Oryzias latipes: one gene and its partner. The protein of the gene in region 1 purifies or fractionates together with the protein of each later gene. This does not show direct contact. Links are inferred from orthologs where the notes say so. Each region holds a gene or a part of one and is shown in the gene's direction. Other genes may lie near its edges.

Region 1 (7,441 bases):
TTCATCTGCCTTGCCAAGTGAGCCTTAAACAGACTATGAAGAGCACTGGGTCAACAGCTTTTTCTCTGATGCCTTAGAGTTTATTTTAGCATGTACCATCCCTTGGATGACGGTGATTATGCTAACTATGAGAAGATCACTGTTGACTCTGAGCATCAGAGTGAATCCCGCCAACATTTAGAAGCACTTTGTGATGTAAAGTGTAGTTTTCAGTCTTTAACTCCCAGTTGTCAGCAAAAAACAGCAGAATCACAGAGTTTCCCAAAGAGTCTGTGGCAGAAACCGTGAGGTAAAATGTTGTGAATTTTCCAACCGAGTGTTTGTGCTTCAGTCTAGTGGCTCCAAACTGGCTGATGTTTCCAACCTGAAGCCACACAGCATTTCTTGTGAATTCAGAGTGGGTCTTGTGTGTTTCACGTACTCTGTGTTAGGTTGGTGTGCTCAATGACCATGCTTTTTCTTTTCAACAGTTTTTTTTGTTCAATGTATTTAAAGCACAGATTTATAATTATTGTGAGCATCCGTTTTTTTTTCTCAAAGTCTTGCTGCACTTCATCCTGTCCAGTTATCCATCCGTGTTTAAAGATGGGCTCACCCCTTGACTATTTGTTTTCTTTTTGTATTAAGTGTATGTAGATTTTTTTTGTCAAATATTTATAAATATATGAGTTTGATGAACGGCAAACTGAGTTTATGAGACCTCTATCGTTCTTCTTACACACAGAAGCCAAATAAAGTTTTATCACAAAGAGTCCTGATGATGTGTGTGAAATGCAGACAGCAGTGTTGAAACACCTGGGGCCTCATTTATAAAACTTTGCGTAGGATTTGCGTCAGAAGTGGCGTACGGATGAAACATAGGACGTGCGTACGCACAGAAATATTCGGATTTATAAAACCGTGCACACGCACATCCTACGCATCTTTCCCTTAATAAATCACAACCGATTCTAAATGCAGCGCAGCTTTTGCGGCTTCATGACACGCCCATAGTTGCCCATAAATAGTCCGTGAAACGCCCACAAATGAATATTCATTGATTGGGAAACCATGGCAAACACAGAGAGAAAATCAAAACAACGTAACTTCACTCAATGTGAAGTAGAAGTTATCGTTGGCGAGGTGGAAAAGAGGAGAAAAGTGTTGTTTGGAGGGCACAGTGTGGGCATTACTAATGCCAAAAAGGCACGTGAGTGGCAAACGGTGGCAGACGCTGTAAATGCTGCAGCCTCACAACCTCGGACCGTGGCCGAAATAAAAAAGAAATGGTCGGACATCAAAGTCGAGGCAAAAAAACCTCTGGCGCTGCATCGCCAGAGTGTGTCTGCCACGGGGGGGGGACACCGGAGCTGAACCCTCTTGATGAGAGACAAGCGGCAAGAATTGGGGAATCCTTTAGTGGAGTGGTGACTGAGGCGCAGGGGGACGCCGACGCGCCAGATGCACCGGGTGACACCCCCCCAAAAGCCCGCAGAGGAAGTCGGAACCGGCTCATAAGCCACTCGTCCTCGTTTGCCAGCAAGTCTTCTTGCTGTCTAAAGATACGTTCACTCCGAATTCTTCCATTTGCCACATCTTCTATGAGCGCAAGATCAGCCATTGTGCGTCATTACGCATTGTGATGGGGCATTTTATTTCCCTCCATTTAATTACATCTGAAAAGCTACAGATGTCGGGAATAATCGACGTGGAAATGGGAAATTGATCAGCGCAAATGTAATTTCTTGTTGCTTTCTGAATGGTTGAGACATACGCCATACATTGTTTATCAAAAATAAAACAAACTAAAGGCATATGCATGAATACCATAATTCTGTAGCTTATGGAGAAATGTTTTAATATGAAAACAACTTTCCCCAGTGGACAATTAGTGCGTCTGTCCGTCCGTCCGAACGCCCGCACCTATATCTGCTCCGCCAGACGGACACATTGACGAGAATATCAGTTTTGTACATTATTTCGTTCTGTTAACTATATTATTTATGAGGATGAATTGCACAACATGCCAATATTGCAGAACATATTTCACTTTTCTTTCTGCAAATAAGTGTTCATTTGAATTTCTGTTGTAATTTTCGTTTGATCTTTTTTGTTTGTTTCACTGCTGATCGATCAAACGGATGTTGGTGTAGCTGTTAATTGTCAGACTTGCTTTGTGAAGTCTTCATGTTATTTATGAGAGGCAGTATTGTCATTTTCACTTTCACGTGTTTGTTCCATCTGCCGACGGCGTCACCGTTTCTCATTTCACCCGTTTTTGTGCGTACGCCTGGGTCAGAGCGTGAAGGACCGCACATTTTCCCCTCAAGTTTGCTTTTTATAAATCTCAACTATTGCGTAGAGAGTGGCGTACGCCTTCTTTTGTGCGTACGCAACGTTTATGAATGAGGCCCCAGATCATTGTAGTTGTCGTGCATGGTGATATGTTCTGACCGTAATTCCACTATTGGGTTGAATGCTATAAAACCTTCAATCATTGTTTTCCTGTTTCTCTTTCTTTATTCTAGTATCTTTGGCCATTTTTTCCGCTTAACTCCTACAATTTTTCATCTATTTTAACCATTCAACTATTCAAATATTCAGCTCTTTCCAGCTACAACTTTTGGACTTTCAAATCCTTGAACTTTTCCAGATATTCCAGGATTTTGGCCTCCGTTGAAAAACATGAGGGATCCTTGGTGCAGAAGCTCACTGGTTCGATACCCGGCTCTGGCATTTATCACAAAAATATGTTTTTTGTTATTGTGCTGTTTTAACTTTATTTATGGTTAACTTTGATCTTTTTTTAATTCATTTATTTATTTTCCAATGATTCCCCTTTACGCTTCCTTTTCATTCAGCGATACAGCATCAACCCATATTTTCTTCTGGAGATGCAGCTCCTTCTAGTTACAGAGAAATATGACAAAATCTAAAAAAACGACATGATGAATCTGTGGAAAAGAACGTAGATGTGTTTTTTTTTAGACAGGCAATGCTAATATAAAAAGATAATTTAGAACATTCCAGGAACATTCCAGTCCAGTAGGTGGCGGCAAACCTCAAACCGCCAGTAAAACGCCAGAAGAAGAAGAAGAAGCCGCCGCCAACATGGCGACCCTCCAGCTGCTGCGGGGCGCAGAGATGCTGAAGCAGGGCGCGGAGGGCCGCGTCTACCGGGCCGAGTTCCTGGGAAAACCCGCCGTGATCAAACAACGGTTTCCGAAACGCTACCGACACCCAGAGCTGGATGAAAAACTGACGCACCGCAGAACCATGCAGGAGGTCCGCAGCATCGCCCGCTGCCGGAGAGCAGGTGAGTCCCGCCGCCGCCGCGGTGCCGATCCCCGGCTTCAGACGCCTCTGCTTCCCCCAGGCGGAGGCCACTGCAGCCTAGGACCGTCCAGGACGTCCTGCTCTCTAGTTCACCACGAAAAGCTCCACGAGGCCTCGCGGGGTTTGTCCACGCACGAGGCGAAAGGTTCTGTCTGCTCAATCCGGGTCAGCATTAACCCTTTGTGGTCCTGGACCGCTTTAACAATTTGTAGAACTTTACAATTTCCTGGAATAATTCACCTTTAACACAGTTTGGTTTAGCAAAAGCAACAAAGTTTTTACTTTATTTTACTACACAACTGCACAGGACACCTGAGCGGTAGAAAAACACAAAGCAGAGTTGGAAATGTTGTCATTTTTTAACTGCAGAATGAACAAATTGTTTTTTGTTAACAAGAAAAAATTATAAACCCAAGAATTCCATGTCAGAACATTCGTAAACTACAGTCACACATCTTAAAATGCAACCGTGTGACGACCTGTGTGCAACTTATTCAGGTAATTCAGATTGGATGTCTCAGTTAATTTACTAAAAATATCTCTAGTTTCCCAGGTTATTTTGTGGCTGCCAACTCTCACGCCACACCTTTTTCTCACGCTAGACGGCAGTTGACGTTACTTATTTCCTGTTGATTTTTTTCTTATTCCTAAACTTAATGGAGAGACACAAACAATGTTTTTATTATTATATTAGCTCTGACTGCCGGAGACACTACGCTGGTCACTTTAGCCTAAGTCACTTCACAGGCCGTGGCTCTCTGGTTGTCTGGGTCCACAGGTGAGCGCAGGTGTGGCGTTCACTTCCACTGAGGCTCGTTCGGCCACTTCAAGGACGTCAGGAGAATGAAACGTGCGATTGTTTGATGCGCGTGTCCTAAATGTCTCATGAAGTCTTTGTAAGGATACGCAGCACTCCTGTCCTCCTGATACACTCAGGATTTATCGTTTCTAGCAGCCAGGCTGCGCTCCAACAGCCTGCACCTTTATGGCAAGCCAAAAGGGTCAAAATCTGTCATGAAAAGCAGCGAAAATAATGATTGTCTCGACTGGAGTTGGTGTTTCTTTTTTTGCTCTTCCTTTCCTCTCTTCCTTTTTTGGTTTTACCAGTATGTGCAGCATTAAGGCAAAAAAAAAAAAAAAAAAAAAAGAGACGTTTGTGTTTTCCTGCTGAAAAACGCCGCCATGAGACGAGAGGTTTCAGTCCGTCTCCTGTAGTCTGGACCAAAGATTCAGAGCTGCTGAGAAAACGAGGACAGATTCACTGAAGGGGAGCAGATGGACAGAAAATGCCCCCCCCCCCCCCCCCCCCCCCGATTCTGTCTCTAGTTGATTCATTTTTACATGAAATCAGAACAAAAACAGCCTAAAAACAGGATAAAAGATGCCGTTCAAAATCTACATCTTCTTATTTCAACGTTTTGTTGATGTTGTATTTTTTACGATGCGCATAATTCATTTTCACTGGGCACTAGGGGTGTTTTAAGTATGGGGTGGGGAGGGGGGGCATTTTTGTTCAGACGGTGAGAACAAAGAATTGCGAACAGAAGACGGGTTTTTTTCTTCCCTCAGTGTGAAGAGCAGAGGATCCGTTTTATCCAAGTTCTAAGAAATACATTTGATTAAAAGAGGAACATTTTGCATTTAAATGTTCTCATTTATTTAGGATTAAACCACGGTCCGGGTGAACACTCCATTCTGATCGCCTGCTGGGTGTGGACTAAAAAGTGAGAATCTAAAAAAGTAGTTCCAGCTGAAATGTTCTGTATCACTCCGCTGGCTTCTTTAAAACAAACGTAATCTTCATCGTCTGGACAAAGACGAGCGGCAAGAGGAGAGCTTTCCCTCTGAACTGATGCTTTATTGTTTAAAAAGTGATCCAAACTGAAAAAATAACAAGAGTAAAGGACTAAAAACTGGTTGAACATTTATTTCTTTTGCAGGTGACCATAGTATAAGCGGGTTGATGACCTTGGAAGTGTGCTTTATCAGAAATGAATGCACTTCATGGAAGCAACCGGACGGTTGCTTCCATGAAGTGCATTCATTTCTGATAAAGCACACTTCATCTTCCATTAATCCTTCCATAACCAACTCAAGTCGTCTCTATCCTATCATTTACAGACAGGATCAAGGCAAACTGTGATATTTACTTGGCCTCTGACCTTTTGCAGCGTCCGGTCAAAGACTTGTTTCTCCTCCACAGGCATCTCCACCCCCGTCGTCTACTTTGTGGATTACAGTTGCAGCTGTATTTTCCTGGAGGAAATAGTTGACTCTCAGACTGTGCGGGACTTCATCGCATCCGCCCGGCGGTCGTCCTCGCGGTCGGACCAAGAGCTGCAGCGGCTGGCTGAGCTCACGGGGCGGATCTTAGCCAAAATGCACGACGAAGACGTGATCCACGGAGACCTGACCACCTCCAACATGCTGCTGCGACGCAGCGCCGACAGCTCGGAGCTTGAGTTGGTCCTCATCGACTTTGGCCTGAGCTACATTTCGGCTCTAGCTGAAGATAAAGGGGTGGACCTTTATGTTCTGGAGAAGGCGTTCCTCAGCACCCATCCCAACACGGAGCCGCTCTTCCAGCAGCTGCTCGGCAGCTACTCGGCTTCCTCCAAAAAGTCATCGGCAGTCATCAAAAAGCTGGAAGAGGTTCGGCTCCGAGGCAGGAAGAGGTCCATGGTGGGATGAATGTTGACTGGAGCTTCATGGGACTTATGGCTGTCGTGGTTAATAAAGAAATGAGACTCTGAAGCTTTGTCTGGAAAGATTTCTGTTGATCAGAGTTACTAGTATGGCGGCGCTCTAGACTGCGTCTGTTTTGATCTCACGCGCCGCTAGATTTTTCAGTGGTGCACCAAAAAATATAAAATCCTTGGTGCGTCCAGCCTTTCTGGAAAAAAAAAGAGAAGAAAAGACAAAAAGCAGGAAAAGTTACTGCTGCTATCAAAGAACATTTGAATTCGTACCTAAGAAGAGATTCTGATGCGGCTCTTTACTGATCACAAAACTTTATACATTTTTTCTAAGTAAACATTTCCGCTCAGTGAAGCACCAACTTTTTCTTATTAATATTGTAGACTTGTTTCCAATGAAGGACCTTTTGTTTACCAGTTAATCTTTTTCAAGTCCTTAATGCAGAAATTGACAGCGATTAAAAAGCAAATGGAGTTTTTGAAAGCGCAGAGTAGAAGAGGCGGCTGCACCGACCTTCCATGGTGGTGCGCCTAAGAAAAGGAAACGGCAGCGGAGAGAATCTCTAGTCTACTGCTCTGCATGCGGTCAAATCAGGATCAGCTTCAATTGAATAAAAACAGTTTGTTCATTTGAACAGCACTACTGTAGTTTAGACTGTTAAGTTTCTCCATTACCTATTGAATTCTGTGACTTTATGTTCTTTAGGATTCATGTTTATTCCACAATTTCGGATCTGGAGCCCATTGAGACGCCTGTTGTAAATATTTGGCTATAGAAATTAAATTGAATTGAATAGAAAACACTGTACAAGTACACACCATAGTACACACCATAGTACCATTTACCATTTTTAACAGCTGCTGTTTGTATTTTCAGCTTTTGGTTTTCTTTGTTTTTTTCCTATTTTGCTTTGATTCCTCAGTTTAGTTTCAATTCCGTTGTACAATTCAGACTTTACATTTTTATTTTTAACCATCTGATTAGTTTATTCCCTTCAATCCAGATTTGACCCTATAGAGGAGATAAACTGATTTATTATCATCGCTGGAGTTTACTGATGGGGAAGCTGGGAGGAAATAAATGGAAGAGAACGGGGGCGAATGCAAAGAAATATTCCACATCTGTCATGTTTTTATATGAATGTTTTTATGCATGTGCATGCCAGCATGTAGTTAAGTCTCAGGGGAGATGCAGAGAAACTGGTGGATTCCAGCCCAGTAGCAGAAAGGCTTAAAAGACCACAGCAGCCCCCCCCCCCAAAGACACACACACAGGGTGGCAGCCGTAATGCAACCCTCAAAGCAGGAAAACCACCCAGATACCGGGCAACACATTCCCAGCGTTGGCAGTGACCAGCTCGTATATAAGCAGGTTTCCATAATATAAAATGACATTGGGTTCAATAAGACGGCAAATACTAAAATATCTG
Region 2 (7,268 bases), on another chromosome or scaffold:
TGTGCTTTAAAATACTGTATGTAAAACCAGTTTTGTATTTAAGAAATTTGAAAGAAAATGTGAAAGAATTGAATTGAAATATTGTATATATAGACATAATTGAGTCCAGATGAGTTCAGGTTTTCTCAAAGAGTCCTCTGGAAGGTGGAGACCTTCATACCATGTGTGGGGCGCTGATGGTGGCCTGAAAACCTGTTGGTTAGAAGCAAACATGGGCTCGTTGATCACTCAGAAAACAGGCCAGAGTGCACAAACTATGGCGTCCATGCACCTACCTATGGACTGAGGCGAGTCCATGTAGGGGTTACACCTGGAGAAGTGTGCTCGGTCTGTGGCCAGCATGGCTTCGTACACCCTGTCGGATTTGATGATGCCATTTTCTGAGGATGCAGAAGAGTTTTTGTCAAAAGTGAGGCAGAAGAGAACCACACAGTCCTGCAGACGAATATGCAACAAGAAAGACACACGAATGAACGCATTGAGTTAAATCAGACAAACATGGAGTGGTTGGTATCCAAATAAACCTTATTCCTTATGCTACCTACACACCAGGCATGTGATGTGACCTGAAGAACGCGCTAAACGGGCCTTCTTGAACGCCCTATTGCCACATGTGTTCACACTGGACTGTCGCTACCCGATATTAGTGCATGTACTCACAGCTGAAAGAGGCTTGGTGTGAAATGTTAACACAGGGCACAGTAAGAAAGCGGCATAGCAAAAACAATATTGGCTTTGCAGACCATGGACTGCAGCGGGACAGAATTATGGACATAAAATTTAGATGTTGTAATGTTAACACTCAAAAGAACAGTCACACTTATCTAAACAGGTTGCATTTACACTGTAGTTTGTGGATTAAAGGGCCTATTTCATGCTTTTCCAATACTTTCACAATGAACTATATCCATGTATATGATAATATATTACCTTTGGCACACTAAAGAATGATCTTTTTATGAAATACGAGTTATTTTCACACTTCATTTTCCAACCCGGAAATAAGACGACTTGGTCTCTGAGGCTCCGCCTTTCTCTCTGTGTGGGTGTCGCCCATTGCATGACCTCAACATAGAGCCGGCCTTGGCAGCGTGTCTGAGTCTCCCAGGAAAACAAACAACATCCAAACCTTTACAGGGATGGATGTGCATACTGTGCAGAGTAAAGGAACGTGTTTTGACCAATCACCACTGGCACCACGCAGAAAGTGTGTGTGTGTATTCCTGAATAAACACACAAACACAAACACAAACACACACACACACACACACACACACCCCCCCACACACACACACACAGAGTATTCCTCTGAAAACCTAAGACGTTTTTAGAGGAATACTCAGAAATGTAAGAACAGATCAAAATACTGCTTTGAGGTTGTTTACAGTGAAGAATGAACATTATAATACACTTAAAAGCTAAAAAAAAGTTGATTTTTCATGACCCTTTAAGGAAGATACATGAGCTCGATTTCTTATGTTTGGAATACAATCAAAAGCTTTATTGTCACCAAGCAGAAAAAATGAACAATGAAGACTTAAATATTAAGAATGCACATGTAAAATATTAGCAAAATAAGATGATAAAACTCTTGAGCATTATTATATACAGTCCACATGATCACTTTTTTAACTGTACCTATTTGCATAAAGCCAATATAACCACAAAAGGTCCTTAACAAAAGCCTGCAGGGTTGAAAGGTTCAGCCAGAGGTGGCAGACTGATCAGCATGCCTTCTGCATGTGGTCTGCTTCAATCCAAATGAAGTGTGCTAGTCGGAAGCAAACATGTCTGGACTGAGATAAGCAGATATAGAGACTGATGCCCTCCTAAACACGCAGCTATGGGCAAAAAAGCGAGCAATGATACCCCTGACAGCACAGAGAGTATAAATAGAGCTGGCAAATACTTGACAGTGAATGTTGACGCACACTCAAGTCTGCAAATATCGTATTAAATTCACATATTAGCATTAAATAAGTTGATGTACTGGCTTAAAGGCTTATTATGAACAAAAAGGCTAAGTGTCAAAATGACATTACCATTTATTCCGAGTTGGACTTGGCACTAAGTCGCTCTTTCGATGTTGCTAGCTGCTATCGTGACACAGCAAATGTGAATTTCTGTCTCGTGCAACAGAAGGGTGGTTTCCAGAGTCGAGCTTTACGGTTTAAACTGTTCTCGTCAGTGAAATGACAGCGCAGTGGCCAGTGCAGACAGACATCAATGGATGTGGGCAGGGCACACAGCTAGCGCCGCTGCTAACGCTAGCTACATGCTCCTACATGACGCACATACATAGCTAGCTGGCCGGGCTAACATCACAATACACCCTAAATATTTAATGCAAATATTATGTAATTTGGGTGTTTAGTGCTTTTATTTTGATCTAAAATGACAGAAGCGCGCGCGTGTCCCACGGCGTAACGTGGTTTGGCAAAAAAAAAAAAAGGGGGTGGAGAAACTAGGGGCAACAGTGGTTAACAGTTTAAGCAACCAGCTAGCTACCGCACCTGCGCTAACAAGCACGCGCCCGAAAACAGTTTTCCAGCGTCGCGCGGGTGAATTGCTTGCCGATGCCACCTTAAAAACGCTACAAGACTCACTGCGAAGGTTGGTGACAAGTTCTGCGTGACTGGCTCCTCCAGATTTCCAGGCCATTATTAAGCAGACTTTGCGGAGTAAGTAGACAGCAGCTGTCAGTGCCGCGCCTGCGCCAACAGTTTTCCCGATGAAGCTCGCAACCTCGAGCGGAGACGGCGGAGCGGATACGTCACCAGACATCCAAATGATTTTATTACCGGGCCGCCTTTCACATACACTCCCTTTTAACAAAACACGTACAGTTTAATAAAATACAAACCCAATTAGATACGTACTGAGCCCAGTGTCAGTTTAAAGAGGGAATTCCTCTGTCTCTGCTTTATTGGAATTGTTGGGTAATAAAGAAGTCGGCCGCTAGGGGGAAACAGATTATCTATTAATTTAAAGAAGAATAGCACACTGTGATCTGGTCTTCTCGGGCCACCGTAGTTACGTATGAAGCAGCAGGCGCGTAGTTTCTCGTGTAGTCCGTAAACTGAAAACAACACTTCAAATTTTAACAAAAAGGCTTCAATTTCCATGGAGAGCATAAATGCCAAATATGTGTCTCAGAAAATCAGTAAGACGAGATGGTGTCCGGTTTCCTATTCTTCACTGCAACAACCAGAAGTCTTTGCTACGGGCTCGTGGGACAACGAGGTTAGCTAGTAGTACTACTACTAGCGCAAAACCACACAAATTATTAAGATCGCTTGCTAATTAACTCAATTTTTTTTATTAATTTAAATTATTTAAATACACTTTAAAAAATTGTTTTGATTCATTTGTCGTCGTGATTTAAATGTTCACTGAGTTTAATGTGAAACCCGTTGATTTATAGGACAACAAGGTGTCTATCTGGTCCATTGGAAATCACAACAATTCTGGATTAGAAGACGGATTTGAAGGAGACCCACAAATTTTATGTGAGCACAAACATGGCGGAGATGTTCTGGACCTGCAAGTAAGAAACCCAAAAGCTTCTAATGACGGAATCATCGGTGTTGATGTTTGATCTGTGGAGCCATTTCTTTATTTAGGCCTATAAACAAACTAAATGAAAAATAGAAATGAGCACAAAACCAAAACGAAATTTTAAATGTTCCCTTTTCTGTCATTAAAATTATTCAGCATGTCAAATAAGTGTCAGCAGTTATAAAGTCATAAAGATCCTTCAGAAGCTCACACCCAAATGTTTGATCAATTTGTGTAACTATTTGATTACATTTTTGTTCAATTCTTCTGGATTTTCCCACTTTATTATGTTGGATGGTTCACTCAGATATGTGTGTTTTTAACATGTTTTTGTAGCATTTTTCTCATCATGGAGGACAAAAGGATTTAAGCTTAGCACTGCATTTACGAGGACTTTTTTATTTAAATTGTAATGGATAAGGACCCGGTTTGCGATGCAGCAACTGCCATTGGCGGGCCAAAGTCTCCCTGTTCCGCACGCAGACAAATAGATCCACATCCGTCTTTGTTTTCCTTTGTCTGAGCTGGAATCTAAATCTAAACTGTACGGCAGGTTGTTTTTTTTTCTTGTGCTACGCTAATGTTAGATTGGGGTTGTGAGCGGCTGTTAGGTAGCAGGAAAGCGTGTAAACAAAGGAATGCTGGGAAATCATGGTAGGGTCACTTTCACGCTAACAGTCCCATCCACAACCCAGAAACAAATTTCTAATGAGCTTCTGTTGCTCTGCAGAAATTATGTCTTAAGGAACAACACAGGGTTTTTGATTTTTGCTAAAAACTGCATAATCATAATAAAAAAAACACTGGGAATGTTTTTACAATAGGTTTTAATTTTAAATGATTTTAAATGTGTACATTGTTTGGATAAAGTAATTTTTCTTGTTTTTCTTTGTTTCATGTTTTAGTTCTTGGACCAGGAACGGATGGTCTCAGCGTCATCAACGGGAGCAGTCACTATTTTCCGCTATCATCCAAACACTCATGTACGTTGTTTCTTTTCGGTTTTCTTGAGGAGAAAACAAAATGTCATGTTTAAAAACGGGTTTCCTTTTTGTTTCCTGAACAGACCATTTCAGTTCTGCAGCACTGGGCGAGGGCGCATAGCTACCCTTGTGACAACGCGCCCTGCACCGCCTTGGTCTGCAGCAGCCCGGAGATTGTCACTGTCGGGGAGGACGGCAGGATCGTGGTCTTCAGAGCCGACCAGGAAGGAGCGGTCCGGGTCATCGGTGAGATGAGGACTCGGATGTTACCGCCTCATCAGGAGTCGAGTCTAAAACTGTCCGTTGTGTTTGTTAGAGAATGCAGACAGCAGCACAATTCACGCGGTGACTTACCTGAAGACCACGGAGGTTTTGACGGTGAACTCCATTGGCCAGCTGAAGCTGTGGGACCTCAGGCAGCAAAGCAGCTCCCCATCGCAGATTCTGTCCCTGTAAGAGCTCTGAAATTTGATGTATTTATTATTTTTTTATGTATCTTTATCCTTTCAGAAACACACCTTTACTTGTTTGTCTTTTTTTCCACCAGGTCAGGAGACAGAGCTCCTCTGCACTGCGTTGACAGACATCCCAACCAGCAGCACATCGTAGCCACCGGGGGCCAGGACGGCATGCTCTGTGTGTGGGACGTGAGACAGGGGGGCACGCCCATCTCACTCATGGAGGCACACTCGGCTGAAAGTCAGATCCTTTCTTTATTTCACTTTAAACATATCTCTGGTTCTGTTTCACTAACTTTCCTTTGGATTTCCTCGTCAGTGTGGGAGGTTCGCTTCCACCCCACAAACCCGGATCACCTGTTCACGTGTTCGGAGGACGGCTCGCTGCTGCACTGGGAAACTGCCTCGCATTCCGAGATGCCCTCATTCTTACAAGGCAAGTCGTCATCAGTGAAGAGGCACTCCGATGAAAATTTTGTTTTTTGGTGTTTCCAACATGTTCTTTTCTTTTTTCTGATGATGGAGGCAGTTTGAAAAAAAAAACCCAGCTCGCTGCTCAGAGTTCTTAGCAGCATAATCATAATAAAAAGACCACAGGGAAGGCTTTTACAATGGATCCAAAGATGATTGGAATTGGAACTTTAAAAAGAGAAAGCCATGGATCAGATTTGAAGCTTTTATCTTTATGCATTCTTCTTTCTTTATGTCACTTAAAACACACAGGGTCAAATCAGGATCATCTCAAATTGACTGGAAAACCAGATTTTAAAATTGAAACTCTGAAATACAGCTGTCACTGTTTCGCAAAGGTGGTTTGGCAGAGTTTTAAACCAGATACCCTTCCTGTACTTATTCAGGCTAGTGTTATATGGGGGCGGGGCTTTGAGCCCATTGGTTACCATGACATGATTGATGTTGTGTGATAGAGGTCATGACAATGTCATTTCCACTTCAAAGGAGGGATGACTCGAGGTTACATTGTGTACTTTTGAATGTAATTTTTTTCTGGAAATGTTTTTCATTCACTTTAAGCTTGAACATATAGACTCTTCAGTCTGACTCCTTTTTTTTTTTTTTAATGCGTCCTCTCCATTCATTTCTGTGCAGAGCTCCGAATATTTTGACAACAATTTCTGATTTCGCTCCCTGGTGTCTTTGACTTTCCAAGTAGAGATTTAGCTAATTTTTATTTCCTCCTTCCTCCTCAGCGTTGTAGCTCTCTGAGAATTATTTAGACATTTCTCTCTCTGGTTGTTGACTCTGAGGACACAGTCATGACTTTGCACATTCCTCTGCTTTGTGTTCATCAAACATCCCTTCACTTCAAACTAAAACGATCTTGTTGACAGCTCAGAAGTTCTCTAAAGTCTAATTACAGCTTATCAGTCCTGATTTGTACAACAGAGATTTGTGTGTTTTGGCTAAAAACAAAGTCAGTCTTTTGAAAGGGTTAATATGAGACAAGATTTGTTATGAAATTTTAAAGAAGTTTAGAGTTTAAAGCCAATGACGCTGAAACAAATACAGGGACAATAATCTCAATCCTAGAGTGTAAACTCTGCATTTTTGATAGAATTTGGGGTAATTCTGAGAATATTTGCAGTTGGGGGTGAACGTTGGATTGTTTGAACTGTTGACAGGTGGCAGGAACAGCAGCGTGATCTCCCACGGCGCGCTGACCCCCGCTGGCGGGAACCGCCCCCTCAGCAGCGCCTGGCTCTGCGGAGATTCTGGCAAAGGCTGCCTGGAGACGACGCACATGCTGCCCAGCCAGACCATGTCCGTCAACAGCCTGGACATCATCGGACAGTGTCTCGTCTGCGGCACCGACGGAGAGGCCATTTTTGTCAACAGACATGTCCCAGTTTAAAAAATAAGTGTCTTTTGTGAGGAAAGAGATGTTACTGTCCTCATGTTGTGTTCTGACTGTGTTTTGTACAGATTTGATTTAAAAGGTTATTAAATTACAAATAAACGCTCAAATAAGTCTAAAAAGTTGTTTTATTGTCAGTCTTGTTTTTTTATTTTCCAATATTTACGATTATTTGATAGATTTGTATTTACACTGTGTAAAAAAAAAAAAAAAACAAACAAGTCAGCTGCTAAGAACACAGGGAAAAATGGTCTTGATTTCAAATTAAATGTGTTAAACATCTTAAAGTAATACTTCCTCACAGAAATTCTATTTTTTTTTTTTACTTGACTGTTGTTTAATCATCTTTTGAGGACTAATACTCACAGATGAAGACAAACATATGAAATTATACTG

What was found.
Region 2: the proteins of tp53rk (region 1) and nup43 purify together in Homo sapiens (affinity purification with mass spectrometry; 3 studies listed by BioGRID and IntAct, counting the BioPlex papers as one, with this or other methods). This does not show direct contact. The link is inferred for Oryzias latipes from reciprocal best matches to the Homo sapiens genes TP53RK and NUP43.

What each region holds. Positions count from the first base shown.
Region 1 is NC_019879.2:916,083-923,523, forward strand, and holds tp53rk (TP53-regulating kinase), read left to right. Parts: upstream 1-3,018; 5' UTR 3,019-3,090; coding exon 3,091-3,295; intron 3,296-5,518; coding exon 5,519-6,006; 3' UTR 6,007-6,069; downstream 6,070-7,441.
Region 2 is NC_019882.2:17,708,466-17,715,733, forward strand, and holds nup43 (nucleoporin Nup43), read left to right. Parts: upstream 1-3,005; 5' UTR 3,006-3,123; coding exon 3,124-3,243; intron 3,244-3,424; coding exon 3,425-3,547; intron 3,548-4,463; coding exon 4,464-4,541; intron 4,542-4,624; coding exon 4,625-4,787; intron 4,788-4,857; coding exon 4,858-4,993; intron 4,994-5,088; coding exon 5,089-5,240; intron 5,241-5,318; coding exon 5,319-5,435; intron 5,436-6,639; coding exon 6,640-6,869; 3' UTR 6,870-6,998; downstream 6,999-7,268. Other genes in the region: pcmt1 (protein-L-isoaspartate(D-aspartate) O-methyltransferase), read right to left, coding at 161-192, 276-380, 2,607-2,784. UniProt on the Homo sapiens protein: Component of the Nup107-160 subcomplex of the nuclear pore complex (NPC). The Nup107-160 subcomplex is required for the assembly of a functional NPC.